4 linked regions of the Saccharomyces cerevisiae S288C genome follow. The gene in region 3 interacts genetically with the main gene of each other region. Each region holds a gene or a part of one and is shown on either strand. Other genes may lie near its edges.

Region 1 (3,481 bases), on a different chromosome or scaffold from region 3:
ATTGATGGCTGTCTTGCAATTGCATTTAGGGCCGTCGATGGTTTTGACCTTACCAATCTTGACCTCGAGTACATGCTGCTGTTGCGAGTGACGGCATGACTAACATTATCCGGTACAGAAATGAAGGAGTTTTTATTATTTGCCGGTGTCATAGTGGCAGATGCGGTTAGGATGGATGCAGCCCTTCTAATAGAGGAATTTGTTCTTCTCAATGATGGAGTATAGCTTACCAAAGGGCTCCTTGGGGTGTTTGATCCAACTTTGGAATCTTCAGATTGGGGATGGTTTGCTTTAAATTTCGTATCAACTGTCAAAGGTTTAGTCTTTTTTTGTGGAGCCAATACAGGTACTAAAGATTTTGATGAGATCGACCGTTGTAAATTAGAGACGTATCTCTGCGATTTTTTTTGACGCGGAGTAGAGTTGCTGTTTTTGTTGACTAGGTTCGTCCCTCTTTTTTTTGACTTGTTGTTAATGTTTGCTTTAGATTTAGTGGTTTTGGAATTCGTGGCGGAGGGGACCTTTTGAACATTATATGAAAACAGTCTTCTTCTTAAAACTAGCCGTAATTTCCGTAACTTTTTCTTTATCTTGATTCCCAATGAGGTGAAATAATATAAGAGTCCGCCCTTACATCTAATAGCTTTTGATCGTTTTAGAGAACAACGACTGCTACTTGATTTACTGCTGACACTTGAACTATACCTGGAATTGGAAAACCTCGAGGATTCAACTCGTCTTATGGTCGGAACTCTGTTTAGCTTTTTTTTAGGTTTCGGTACTACGCTATTGTTTAATTCGATAGTTTTTATATCCTTTTCCATATTTAATTTGGTCATCGGTTTGGCTTCTTGGGTCGACGGCAGAATGGCGCTTTTAGATGTCGATTTCCTTGGTAATAACGATGATGCTGATGACGGCGCGATATCGTAGGAAACATTATCTGCTGTTGGGATAGTCTGGAATGCCGTTGAGATTGAGCCAGTTATGTTTCCCTCTGGAATAGCTTCCATTGAATGTAACTGGTTTTTAACTACATTTGAGCTGCTATAATGAAGAGAGTCATTTCCTGGGAAGTCATGAGAAGCAAAAAAGTCACTTTTGTTCGAGTCTGAGGAAGTTAATCTAGCGGTTTCATTTTGATTGATTACAATACGTGGTGAAGACGTAGTATTGTCAGAAATGTTAGCAAATGAATAGTATCCATTTGATGAATAACCGGAATTTGTATTTGTATTGGAAGTGGATGTATAGTCTGATAATGTTTGAGAGTTTCCGTCTTCATCGCGAGAAACTCCATTTTCTGCTGCAAACACATCATTTAAAAGATGATGATTATTCAAATGGTACTCTTCTAGCGTTCCTCTTGGTAAACTTTCGTTAGACGGGAATTTAAAATCCATTTGATCGCCTCTAAACGACTTGGTTTTTGTCCTTATTGGAGCTCTGATGATCATTCCGTATGATATATTTGTTGTGATAATAAGCCAAATTTATTTGAGCACTATTGTTAAGTTAATTGTTCTTGTTTTACTTGTTAAGCCGTTAAGTTGTCAACCGAATTATCAAGCACTTAAATCTATATATACAACATATTTGTACAAGAATTGATGACCTGCTGAAAGCCCAGCAATCTGGTTATCCCAGTTGAACATGTTTAAGGATAGGCATATCGACTTCTTTATCTTACTAACCGAAATATTGAATTGCCTGTGTAATGAATGGCTGGAGCAGCCTTTTTTTTATCTTCGCCAGCCATCGCTTTTTTTGAATATTTTCCACATGAAAACAATGTATGAAAAATTCTAAGGCATCGCACCAAACTATATGAAGGGGAAGTGAGTTATTCCGCAAACAGCGAGTAAGTTTTTCGTTGTATTGATTGCCCATATTATATACCGTGTTGTGGGGGCAACAGACAGAAGTAGAAGAAAAAATTTTTGTTGATTTAACTGAAGTGATGGGAAGGACATTTATTCATGCTTCGAAAATAAAACATGCGGCACGCAAAAGAAAACATCATTCCAACTTTAGAACTCTGATCAAATTATTGAACAATGATGCCTATAAGATAGAATCATCAAAACCGTTGAAAAATGGTAAACTTTTCAAATACTGGAAAAATAGGCGTAGATTGTTTTCAAAGATAGATTCGGCGTCGATATATATGACTGATGAGCTGTGGTTCAGTGTGACGCCCGAAAGAATTGCCTGCTTCCTGGCAAATTTTGTTAAGGCATGCATGCCAAATGCCGAAAGAATACTGGATGTTTTCTGTGGTGGGGGCGGGAACACCATACAATTTGCCATGCAATTTCCTTACGTCTATGGAGTGGACTACAGTATTGAACACATATATTGTACTGCGAAAAACGCCCAAAGCTACGGTGTGGACGACAGAATATGGCTGAAGCGGGGATCCTGGAAAAAGCTAGTCTCTAAGCAGAAACTTTCCAAAATAAAGTACGACTGTGTATTTGGATCACCCCCGTGGGGTGGTCCAGAATACTTAAGAAACGATGTGTATGACTTAGAGCAACATCTAAAGCCTATGGGGATTACCAAGATGTTGAAAAGTTTTCTTAAACTAAGCCCTAATGTGATTATGTTTTTGCCAAGGAACTCTGATTTGAACCAGCTTTCTCGAGCTACGAGGAAAGTACTAGGTCCATTTGCCAAATGTAAAGTATTATATGTAAAGGAGAATGGATATATGAAAGGAATATTTTGCATGTGGGGGGAATGCTTTTTTAACTACGAACCAGCAAGTACGGAGAATAGTCGAAGGGAGTCGTCCGAAAAGGAAGAGCTGAGTTCTGAAAACGAAGAGCTCTCGAAAAGAAAAAAGCATGAATCCACAACAACGACCAAAGATAATACTGTAGACATTTACGACGTAAATGGTTAAACACTTGTTCAAGTTGAATCGTATGATAGAAAATGCAATGACTATGTTATGAATGTATATATAGCACATAAAGAGGATCGCTTACGTGAATTTGGGAATAATTAAAACGTTCTTTTAGCTGCGGCTGCTCGTCGATAGGAGTGATAACAAATTAAGAATTAGAAGGGATGTCTTTTTTTTCTACCAGCAAGTTGCCACGCGCTTCAGACTTTAGAAGAGGTAGTAGCAATCCCTTCGAATGAGGTTCGATTATATCTCTCACCATTCCACGATTTATCACGGAAATACCATTCAAAAATAAATAAGGCGACTGAATGGATTCCAAGGCAGCACTAGTATCGATATTTAGTTTATTTTGTTTGATATACTTTTCTAATTCATAGCCATGAGAGTGTTTTTCCAAATCAACAGTGGCCAATTCGGGTGAAATCTCAAATTCTCTTTGTAATAGATTTTTTAAGAAAATGGAGTCTGCTTGTGATGATTTAATGAATAATACCGCTGGAGAGGTTCTTATTATATCTAGAAAATCTGTTCTAGGGTCGAATTTTTTGTGATCGCAGTTTTTCTGCA
Region 2 (3,278 bases), on a different chromosome or scaffold from region 3:
ATTCCCTTCAAGGTTTTTTTTTAAGGAGTACTTGTTTTTAGAATATACGGTCAACGAACTATAATTAACTAAACATGGGTAAAGAGAAGTCTCACATTAACGTTGTCGTTATCGGTCATGTCGATTCTGGTAAGTCTACCACTACCGGTCATTTGATTTACAAGTGTGGTGGTATTGACAAGAGAACCATCGAAAAGTTCGAAAAGGAAGCCGCTGAATTAGGTAAGGGTTCTTTCAAGTACGCTTGGGTTTTGGACAAGTTAAAGGCTGAAAGAGAAAGAGGTATCACTATCGATATTGCTTTGTGGAAGTTCGAAACTCCAAAGTACCAAGTTACCGTTATTGATGCTCCAGGTCACAGAGATTTCATCAAGAACATGATTACTGGTACTTCTCAAGCTGACTGTGCTATCTTGATTATTGCTGGTGGTGTCGGTGAATTCGAAGCCGGTATCTCTAAGGATGGTCAAACCAGAGAACACGCTTTGTTGGCTTTCACCTTGGGTGTTAGACAATTGATTGTTGCTGTCAACAAGATGGACTCCGTCAAATGGGACGAATCCAGATTCCAAGAAATTGTCAAGGAAACCTCCAACTTTATCAAGAAGGTTGGTTACAACCCAAAGACTGTTCCATTCGTCCCAATCTCTGGTTGGAACGGTGACAACATGATTGAAGCTACCACCAACGCTCCATGGTACAAGGGTTGGGAAAAGGAAACCAAGGCCGGTGTCGTCAAGGGTAAGACTTTGTTGGAAGCCATTGACGCCATTGAACAACCATCTAGACCAACTGACAAGCCATTGAGATTGCCATTGCAAGATGTTTACAAGATCGGTGGTATTGGTACTGTGCCAGTCGGTAGAGTTGAAACCGGTGTCATCAAGCCAGGTATGGTTGTTACTTTCGCCCCAGCTGGTGTTACCACTGAAGTCAAGTCCGTTGAAATGCATCACGAACAATTGGAACAAGGTGTTCCAGGTGACAACGTTGGTTTCAACGTCAAGAACGTTTCCGTTAAGGAAATCAGAAGAGGTAACGTCTGTGGTGACGCTAAGAACGATCCACCAAAGGGTTGCGCTTCTTTCAACGCTACCGTCATTGTTTTGAACCATCCAGGTCAAATCTCTGCTGGTTACTCTCCAGTTTTGGATTGTCACACTGCTCACATTGCTTGTAGATTCGACGAATTGTTGGAAAAGAACGACAGAAGATCTGGTAAGAAGTTGGAAGACCATCCAAAGTTCTTGAAGTCCGGTGACGCTGCTTTGGTCAAGTTCGTTCCATCTAAGCCAATGTGTGTTGAAGCTTTCAGTGAATACCCACCATTAGGTAGATTCGCTGTCAGAGACATGAGACAAACTGTCGCTGTCGGTGTTATCAAGTCTGTTGACAAGACTGAAAAGGCCGCTAAGGTTACCAAGGCTGCTCAAAAGGCTGCTAAGAAATAAGAGTAATAATTATTGCTTCCATATAATATTTTTATATACCTCTTATTTTTATGTATTAGTTAATTAAGTATTTTTATCTATCTGCTTATCATTTTCTTTTCATATAGGGGGGGTTGGTGTTTTCTTGCCCATCAGATTGATGTCCTCCAACTCGGCACTATTTTACAAAGGGTTTTTTTGTAAGAGAAGGAGAAGACAGATACTAAACCATACGTTACTCGAAACAAAAAAAAAAAAAATGGAAAAAGCTGCTATCAACAAAAGACGGCCTCATCAAACCTAAAGAAACCATGTCAGCGTATGTATATACCTTGTAATTTACGTTTCCTTAAATCTTCTTTCTACTAACGTTTTCATTATTCTATACTCTATGACCAATAAAAACAGACTGTACTTTCAAAATTTACCCAGTAGGCCAGCAAATAAAGAAAATTATACCAGATTACTTCTGAAACACATTAATCCCAACAACAAGTATGCCATTAATCCGTCGCTACCCCTTCCCCACAATAAATTACAAATATCATCACAACCGCTGATGTTACTAGATGATCAAATGGGCCTTCTTGAAGTTTCTATTTCAAGATCATCAAAGATGACTAACCAAGCATTTTTAACGTTTGTCACTCAAGAAGAAGCAGACCGGTTTCTAGAAAAATACACGACAACAGCATTAAAAGTTCAAGGTCGTAAAGTGAGAATGGGAAAGGCTCGAACAAATTCGTTATTGGGTCTTTCAATAGAAATGCAAAAAAAAAAAGGTAATGACGAAACGTACAACCTTGATATAAAGAAGGTGCTTAAAGCAAGGAAACTTAAACGCAAGTTACGTAGTGATGATATATGCGCCAAAAAGTTCAGGCTTAAAAGGCAAATAAGACGCCTGAAGCATAAGCTGAGATCAAGAAAGGTAGAGGAGGCTGAGATTGATAGGATTGTAAAAGAATTTGAAACCCGTAGATTGGAAAACATGAAGTCTCAGCAAGAAAATCTAAAACAATCGCAGAAACCTCTTAAGCGGGCTAAAGTGTCCAATACAATGGAAAATCCACCGAACAAAGTCCTTCTTATACAAAATTTGCCAAGCGGCACTACCGAGCAATTATTGTCGCAAATACTTGGCAATGAGGCTTTAGTTGAAATCAGATTAGTTAGCGTTCGTAACCTAGCTTTCGTGGAATACGAGACCGTTGCTGATGCTACGAAAATCAAGAATCAGTTAGGCTCCACTTACAAGCTACAAAACAATGACGTTACCATAGGATTTGCTAAGTAGAATTTCCTTTGCGGAAGTATACCTCGAGTAAAGAAATTCACAGATAAATTTGAATAACGTTCTCCATTATGAATAAATATGTATTTACAAGCTTAGAAAATAATGTGCTCTTTATTTACCAAATAATACAGTTCTCATTGCAGTAAATAAGCTTTCCTTTTTCTTACCGTCAACGGCATTTATTAACCGTTGATAATATTGGGGATTTCCTGCAGGTTTATAGAGCTTATCGCCAATATCGTAATAGTTTCTGAATTTATTATTCATTATAGTGCTCAAGGCACGAATTTGCTCGTTGATGCTTTCTTCCGTGAATTTCTCATCTACCATTTTATTTTGAATTTTGGTTAACATCTCCTTATTCAGTCCTAATGGACCGGAAGTTCTGTTAATTATACTTTTTATTTCATCTAATGAGGGTTTTTTCTCTTTTATAGATTTTCCTTTGTCATCTACATTTGGCAGACCCGCTACACGTCTAAATCTTGCTATTTGTACATCCCTGAATGAGACCAAGTGGTGTATACGATCCTTTGGATATTTTTCCAGTA
Region 3 (3,714 bases):
TATCCACTATTTTGATACCAACGTAGTATTGCCTTTTATTTTTCAGAATGGCAAAGGCCATCGGAAAATTTTTCCACCAGAAAAAGCGAGATTCCTAATTATAAGGTGAAGGCATCGATGTTCATAATAGTTAAAAGTTGTAATCAAAAAAGAAAAAGGTGCAGAGATAAACAAAGTTAATAAATGACAAAATCAAGAAAGCAGAAGCAAAAAAAGCAGGATTTTTTGAGAAAAAAGTTAAAAGTTGGTAAGCCAAAGGAAAAAGCAAGGAATGCTACCGATACATCTTTCGTTTCCAAGACTATTTCTATTAGAAATCAACATTTAGACCAAAATCCACATGATTTAACAAAACGGCTAACGCTCTTAAAGCATCATAACATCAATGTGAGAAAGGAAACATTAACAACATTCCAAAAGTCAATACCGTCTATAATAAAATCTCGACTTATGACACCATTACTTACTCAAAGTATACCGTTGATTTGCGATGAATCGCAGCAAGTACGTCAGGGACTTATTGATCTCGTAGATGAAATAGGTAGTCACGATGCGGAGATTTTAAAATTGCACTGCAACATTTTTGTCTTATACATTAACATGGCAATGACACATATTGTTACACAAATTCAAGCAGATTCTACTAAATTTCTCTCTCATCTGTTGAAGTATTGCGGAGATGAAGTGGTTAGGAAATCTTGGGTAAAACTTTTGAACGGTGTCTTTGGAGTGCTCGGTTGGGGACAGGTAGGGAAAAATGATAGCGCTAGCATAGTGCAAACGAAGAAGCGAAACGCCAAATATGTCACTATTCATCTCAATGCTCTGTACACTCTTGTTGAATACGGATGTCAGGATGAACGCGCTAGAAGCGACGGAGACACGGCAGAGACTACAGAGGACAGCGGTACGCTACGAAACCCATATTTAATCCCAGATTATCCGCAGCCGTTTGAGCACTTGAAACTATTTACCAGAGAATTGAAAGTTCAGGATGCTACCTCCAGTGGAGTAAATGCCACACTACTGTCATTGGCAACACAGGATATCGATACTCGAAAAGCGGTATTTATCGAACAATTCCTGCCTATAGTACGTAAGAAAATCGAAGTAATTATCAAGGAAGGTGGTGAATGTGGTAAAAGTGCAAACAAGCTTAAAACGCTGCTTGCAAAAATCTTTGATTGACGTTTCATAAGAATACAATATATAATTGATAGATTGTACTTTTTTTTTTGTTACCCTCAGGAGAGGCAGGGCGAAAAATGCAGAATCTTGGATTTTTTTTAAGTAGATCTAAGTTTGTTTATTTTTCAAATACTATTGGCACAAAGGGAAGGGCTTTTCAGGGATTATTCAGATTCGAGTTGGTGGTGAAATTGTGTGTGCGTACATCCTTATATCAGAGCTTTCCTTTAGTGACAACATTTAAATCGACGTGACCTTATTCGGGTAGTCAAACACCGAACCATATTCTTTGCCCTTAGGTTACTTTCCCTTCATTTTATCAGCTTAGTCGATTAAGTTCGTGTCTATATCCCGTCAAAAGTTCCTAATACATTGCGGGTACAAATGTCCTATAAACAAACAACATATTATCCTAGCAGGGGTAATCTGGTAAGAAACGACTCATCTCCGTACACTAATACTATTTCCTCAGAAACCAACAATAGCAGTACAAGCGTATTGAGTCTTCAAGGCGCATCTAACGTGAGTTTAGGGACCACTGGTAACCAATTGTACATGGGCGACTTGGATCCTACATGGGATAAGAATACCGTTAGGCAAATTTGGGCATCTCTGGGAGAAGCGAATATTAATGTCCGGATGATGTGGAATAATACGCTTAATAATGGGTCGAGATCATCAATGGGTCCAAAGAATAATCAAGGATATTGCTTTGTTGATTTTCCCTCATCTACTCATGCAGCAAATGCACTTTTAAAGAATGGTATGCTTATACCCAATTTTCCAAATAAAAAATTGAAATTAAACTGGGCTACATCCTCATATTCAAACAGCAACAATTCTCTTAACAACGTGAAGAGTGGTAACAACTGTTCTATATTTGTTGGAGACTTAGCACCAAATGTTACAGAGTCTCAATTATTTGAACTTTTCATTAACAGATATGCTTCTACTTCTCATGCCAAAATTGTGCACGACCAGGTTACCGGGATGTCTAAGGGCTACGGTTTTGTAAAGTTTACCAATTCTGATGAACAACAGTTAGCTCTGTCAGAAATGCAAGGCGTATTTTTAAATGGTAGAGCCATAAAAGTAGGACCCACATCTGGTCAGCAGCAGCATGTCAGCGGTAACAACGATTACAACCGTAGTTCTTCGTCACTAAACAACGAAAATGTAGACTCGAGATTTCTTTCCAAGGGTCAATCATTTTTAAGCAATGGAAATAATAACATGGGCTTTAAGAGAAACCATATGTCTCAATTCATTTATCCAGTCCAACAGCAGCCGTCTTTAAACCACTTCACTGATCCGAATAACACCACTGTGTTTATCGGAGGATTGTCATCACTGGTGACTGAAGACGAATTACGTGCTTATTTCCAACCTTTTGGCACGATAGTCTATGTCAAAATTCCGGTAGGCAAATGTTGCGGGTTTGTCCAGTATGTTGATCGGCTATCGGCTGAGGCTGCCATTGCTGGGATGCAAGGGTTCCCCATTGCAAATTCAAGAGTTAGACTGTCTTGGGGCAGGTCTGCTAAGCAAACAGCGTTGCTTCAGCAAGCCATGTTAAGTAACTCTTTACAGGTTCAACAACAGCAACCAGGTTTACAGCAACCTAACTACGGATACATTCCATCCAGTACGTGTGAAGCACCTGTTCTGCCAGATAATAATGTTTCATCCACGATGCTTCCTGGATGTCAAATTCTGAATTATTCTAATCCATACGCTAATGCGAATGGATTAGGCTCGAACAATTTCAGTTTCTACAGTAATAATAATGCTACAAATACGCAAGCTACTAGTTTACTGGCTGACACTAGCTCTATGGACCTCTCAGGCACGGGTGGCCAACAAGTTATCATGCAAGGAAGCGAAGCGGTTGTTAACAGCACTAATGCAATGTTAAACCGTTTGGAACAAGGCAGTAATGGTTTTATGTTTGCTTGAGCCACACGTGTATATAAAAATGTTTGTTTTCCTTTTGGCCCTTTTTCTTTCTTGGTATTTTCTTTACTTCAGTGTTAAATTGTATTTGGTCTTAGGCTGACGGTGATATAACAGCGCTTTATTTTCTTTTTTTCATTGCTTTTTATCGTTTTCAAGATTCCATGTCCTTTTATTAAGTCTTTTTTGTATCGTTATAGTTGCGTTTTTCCTTTTGATTTTCATTTCTTTCAAGGTTATTGTTATTCTTAATTCAATTCAAGATTGTACGCTTTTAAGCATGTTTATGATTTTCCTTTATTACTTCCATTTACCTTCTTTCCATCACTACTCATTACGGCCTGTCAATTCCTTTTTTGCGTCACCTTCATTTTTTCTTCTCTGTTCTTTTCTGTATTTGTCGAAAATTTTATATTGATGTATCTTAATTTTATTTTTAGTATTATTATACTGTAAATGTTTCTTACTGTGTCAAGATTTCCCGTTGCGCTATCTTCCAAGACTACGTAATGCGTTTGTCTCTCTATTCATGTTGTCTCTGTATAGGGGCACGGCGAATTCCTACTCCGTGTC
Region 4 (3,045 bases), on a different chromosome or scaffold from region 3:
CCCTTCTTGATTCTGGAAATTATCCATTATCCTTAACGCCGCAAGTAGTGCAGCCCCGGAACTTGAGCCGCTACTTGTTAATACGGTCATATCGTTATCAGGGATGAAATTGGCGCCCTTCCTAATTTTCATGGACAGTGGTTTAGTAACATGAACATCATACGATGAAACATCCTGCAAGTTCATTATTCCATTGTATTTTGCGACAGTATCAATCATGGATTTTGCAATCCAGTGATCGGGGTCATAAAATGGGGCCACGGAACCATTTTTAGCCAGTTCCATTAGCATGTTAGATAGTGCCGGCCTCTTGATCCAATCGCCTTCTTTCAAAACACCGTCATGGGTAGAATTCAATACAAACGACCAATCTTCCTTCAATGTCAGGAAAACATCCTCATAAAGTTCTAAAGTGGCACCGAGTGCTTCGCCTATTTGCCAACCCACGCTTCCCAGCTTTGCGACTGGTTCAATTAGATCACGCCAATCAACTTGGCCGCTACCTCTTTCTTTAAAGAGGCGATAGAGACCCATCAATTCACCTGGAACACCGACAGCAAGACCCCCTATTTTTGAGCATAGAGAGCAGTTTTCGAACATGAACTTATGTGAATCCATGGGTGCTTTTTCTCTAAAATCAATGGATAGATGATCTTCATCGTCTTTGCCAGAAAAAACTACGTAGCCACCACCTCCAATCCCACTATTAAAAAAATTCACCATACCCTTACAAAGAGCTTGTGTTACTGCAGCGTCTGCAGCGTTAGAACCGGGAAATTTCAGGAGTACCTCATTTATAGTCAAATTACTACAGACTTCTAAATCTGAACTTATAGCACCATGCAAACCGACTTTTAGAAGTTGCCTATCAGGCGTTAAACTAGGACGGCGAGGTAAAGGGTCAATATCGATGTTATGGTGATCCTTATCGCCGCCATCATCATCGTCGTCTTTTTTCAAATATTCTGCAATAATGTCAACATCTCGATTGGCAGACCCTCGAAGGAGATTATTTATTCTCTGCAAAGTCTCCTGAGAGGCGAATGATACCATTTTTGACGGCATTCCGGACACTAACACACCCAGTGTTAACAGAGTGAATATATGCAGTATAAAACAGGTATTTAAAGTCTTGGGGACTTTTCTATTACACAACAGCATAACTGTAAGTCTAGTACGCTACTTTTTGTCTTGTCTTTTTGTGTGCCTGACAACGCCCCACTTGAATCTGCGTTAGCTTTTTATTCTATTATTTAAGATAACTGTGCAACAGGAAGTCACGATCGAACTTTACGGAAGAATTATAATATTGAGAAGTGCTAGTACACACAGGCGCACACACACATATATATATGTATCTATATACGTGTATGTAGATTTGGAAGTCGAATAGATAAATGCCGTTATGTTCCCTCAGAGAAAATTGATAAGCGGGCAAAAGGCGGCACTAAGACGTTCGAAGGGGCGGATCTTTTCTTTTGATCAACAACAGGCACAGCCGCTGAGTAATATAGTTATGATTTTTCTAATCTCATGTAGGTAATAAAATCTTAAAAGTTATTTTTATTTTCACTCTTTTATATGTGAATAGAGACACTTGTATAGAGATAATAAACGGTTCAAACTCTTTTCACTTTCATATGTTCCACACAGTACCTTATCATTGAACACTAGATTTCCGCAAGTGTCAAGGTACATAGGCGGGTAAGCGTTAAGGATAACAGAAAATATTCTTGCTATACTGAAGATATAATATGAGCTCCTAGTGTAGGCGATGAAGGTGCTCAAGTAACGGAGAGGAAAGAGATAGGCAATGACGAGATACTATTGTGAATACTGTCATTCGTATTTGACCCATGACACGTTGAGCGTTCGTAAATCGCACTTGGTCGGTAAGAATCACCTTCGTATAACAGCTGACTATTATAGGAACAAAGCAAGAGACATTATTAATAAACATAATCATAAAAGACGCCACATTGGAAAAAGAGGCAGGAAAGAAAGAGAAAACAGTAGTCAAAATGAGACGCTAAAAGTTACATGCCTTTCAAATAAGGAGAAAAGACACATCATGCATGTGAAGAAAATGAACCAAAAAGAACTGGCACAAACCTCAATAGATACCTTGAAATTGTTATACGATGGCTCACCAGGATATTCCAAAGTATTTGTGGATGCTAACAGGTTTGATATAGGAGATTTGGTTAAAGCCAGCAAATTACCCCAAAGAGCCAATGAAAAATCTGCACACCATTCCTTCAAGCAAACTTCAAGATCCAGAGATGAGACGTGCGAGAGCAATCCATTTCCTAGGTTGAATAACCCAAAGAAGCTAGAACCCCCAAAGATATTATCACAATGGAGTAACACCATTCCAAAAACTTCTATATTTTACAGTGTAGATATACTGCAAACCACGATCAAGGAGTCCAAGAAGCGGATGCATTCCGACGGCATACGGAAACCGTCGAGTGCCAACGGATATAAAAGGAGGCGGTATGGAAATTAACGCTATCAGATTAGATTATTAAATATTATATGTAGACTATATTTTGCCAAAAAAAACAATAGAGATATCAACAACGAATGAAAATGGTATGATGAGAATAAAAAAAAAGGAAATAAAAAAAGGAAAATTAAAAAATTGAGATTAGTTGAATTGAAAAAGGAAAAAAAATGTTTGGTATGCGATAATTAATTGAATGTGCACGATCGTTACTATCATGAGAATTAAAATTTAAAATGTCCAACTTTCGGGCGTGAAGAGCGGTGCCATCTATTATATCTATTTTTATTTCATGCTTTTTCAGCAAGTGCTTGCTTTTCTTCATCGTTGGACTGTAGTTTCTTATCATTACTGCTGCCTGAACGGAGAGATATGAATATCATGCCAATCAACCCAAGTAGTAAAACTCCAACCACTACAATAATAAAAGATATTATGAAAACAGCGAGTATGTTTTCCAGTGGTTCATTATCGAGGTTAAAATTTGAGAGATCCGGGGTCCCAGAAACGAGTGTGTGCACATCTCCGCTTGCTTTCTC

What was found.
Region 1: mutations in NAM8 (region 3) and TGS1 are lethal when combined (synthetic lethality), as found in Saccharomyces cerevisiae (4 studies listed by BioGRID, with this or other methods).
Region 2: mutations in NAM8 (region 3) and MUD1 together harm fitness more than expected from each alone (negative genetic interaction), as found in Saccharomyces cerevisiae (4 studies listed by BioGRID, with this or other methods).
Region 4: mutations in NAM8 (region 3) and YHC1 impair growth when combined (synthetic growth defect), as found in Saccharomyces cerevisiae (4 studies listed by BioGRID, with this or other methods).

Annotation. Positions count from the first base shown.
Region 1 is NC_001148.4:252,854-256,334, forward strand, and holds TGS1 (RNA methyltransferase), read left to right. Parts: upstream 1-1,960; coding exon 1,961-2,908; downstream 2,909-3,481. Other genes in the region: AIM44 (Aim44p), read right to left, coding at 1-1,457; pheromone-regulated protein PRM4, read right to left, coding at 3,060-3,481. UniProt on the Saccharomyces cerevisiae protein: Catalyzes the two serial methylation steps for the conversion of the 7-monomethylguanosine (m(7)G) caps of snRNAs and snoRNAs to a 2,2,7-trimethylguanosine (m(2,2,7)G) cap structure.
Region 2 is NC_001134.8:477,597-480,874, forward strand, and holds MUD1 (Mud1p), read left to right. Parts: upstream 1-1,741; coding exon 1,742-1,749; intron 1,750-1,838; coding exon 1,839-2,727; downstream 2,728-3,278. Other genes in the region: TEF2 (translation elongation factor EF-1 alpha), read left to right, coding at 75-1,451; CBP6 (Cbp6p), read right to left, coding at 2,839-3,278. UniProt on the Saccharomyces cerevisiae protein: Involved in nuclear mRNA splicing. The principal role of the U1A is to help fold or maintain U1 RNA in an active configuration. It is the first snRNP to interact with pre-mRNA.
Region 3 is NC_001140.6:276,581-280,294, forward strand, and holds NAM8 (Nam8p), read left to right. Parts: upstream 1-1,572; coding exon 1,573-3,144; downstream 3,145-3,714. Other genes in the region: IPI1 (Ipi1p), read left to right, coding at 184-1,188; YHR086W-A (uncharacterized protein), read left to right, coding at 3,651-3,714. UniProt on the Saccharomyces cerevisiae protein: Component of the U1 small nuclear ribonucleoprotein complex (U1 snRNP) involved in the initiation of meiotic recombination. Involved in the formation of DSBs at recombination hot-spots through meiosis-specific splicing of REC107 pre-mRNA.
Region 4 is NC_001144.5:724,185-727,229, reverse strand, and holds YHC1 (Yhc1p), read left to right. Parts: upstream 1-1,813; coding exon 1,814-2,509; downstream 2,510-3,045. Other genes in the region: ECM38 (gamma-glutamyltransferase), read right to left, coding at 1-1,161; YLR297W (uncharacterized protein), read right to left, coding at 2,797-3,045. UniProt on the Saccharomyces cerevisiae protein: Component of the spliceosomal U1 snRNP, which is essential for recognition of the pre-mRNA 5' splice-site and the subsequent assembly of the spliceosome.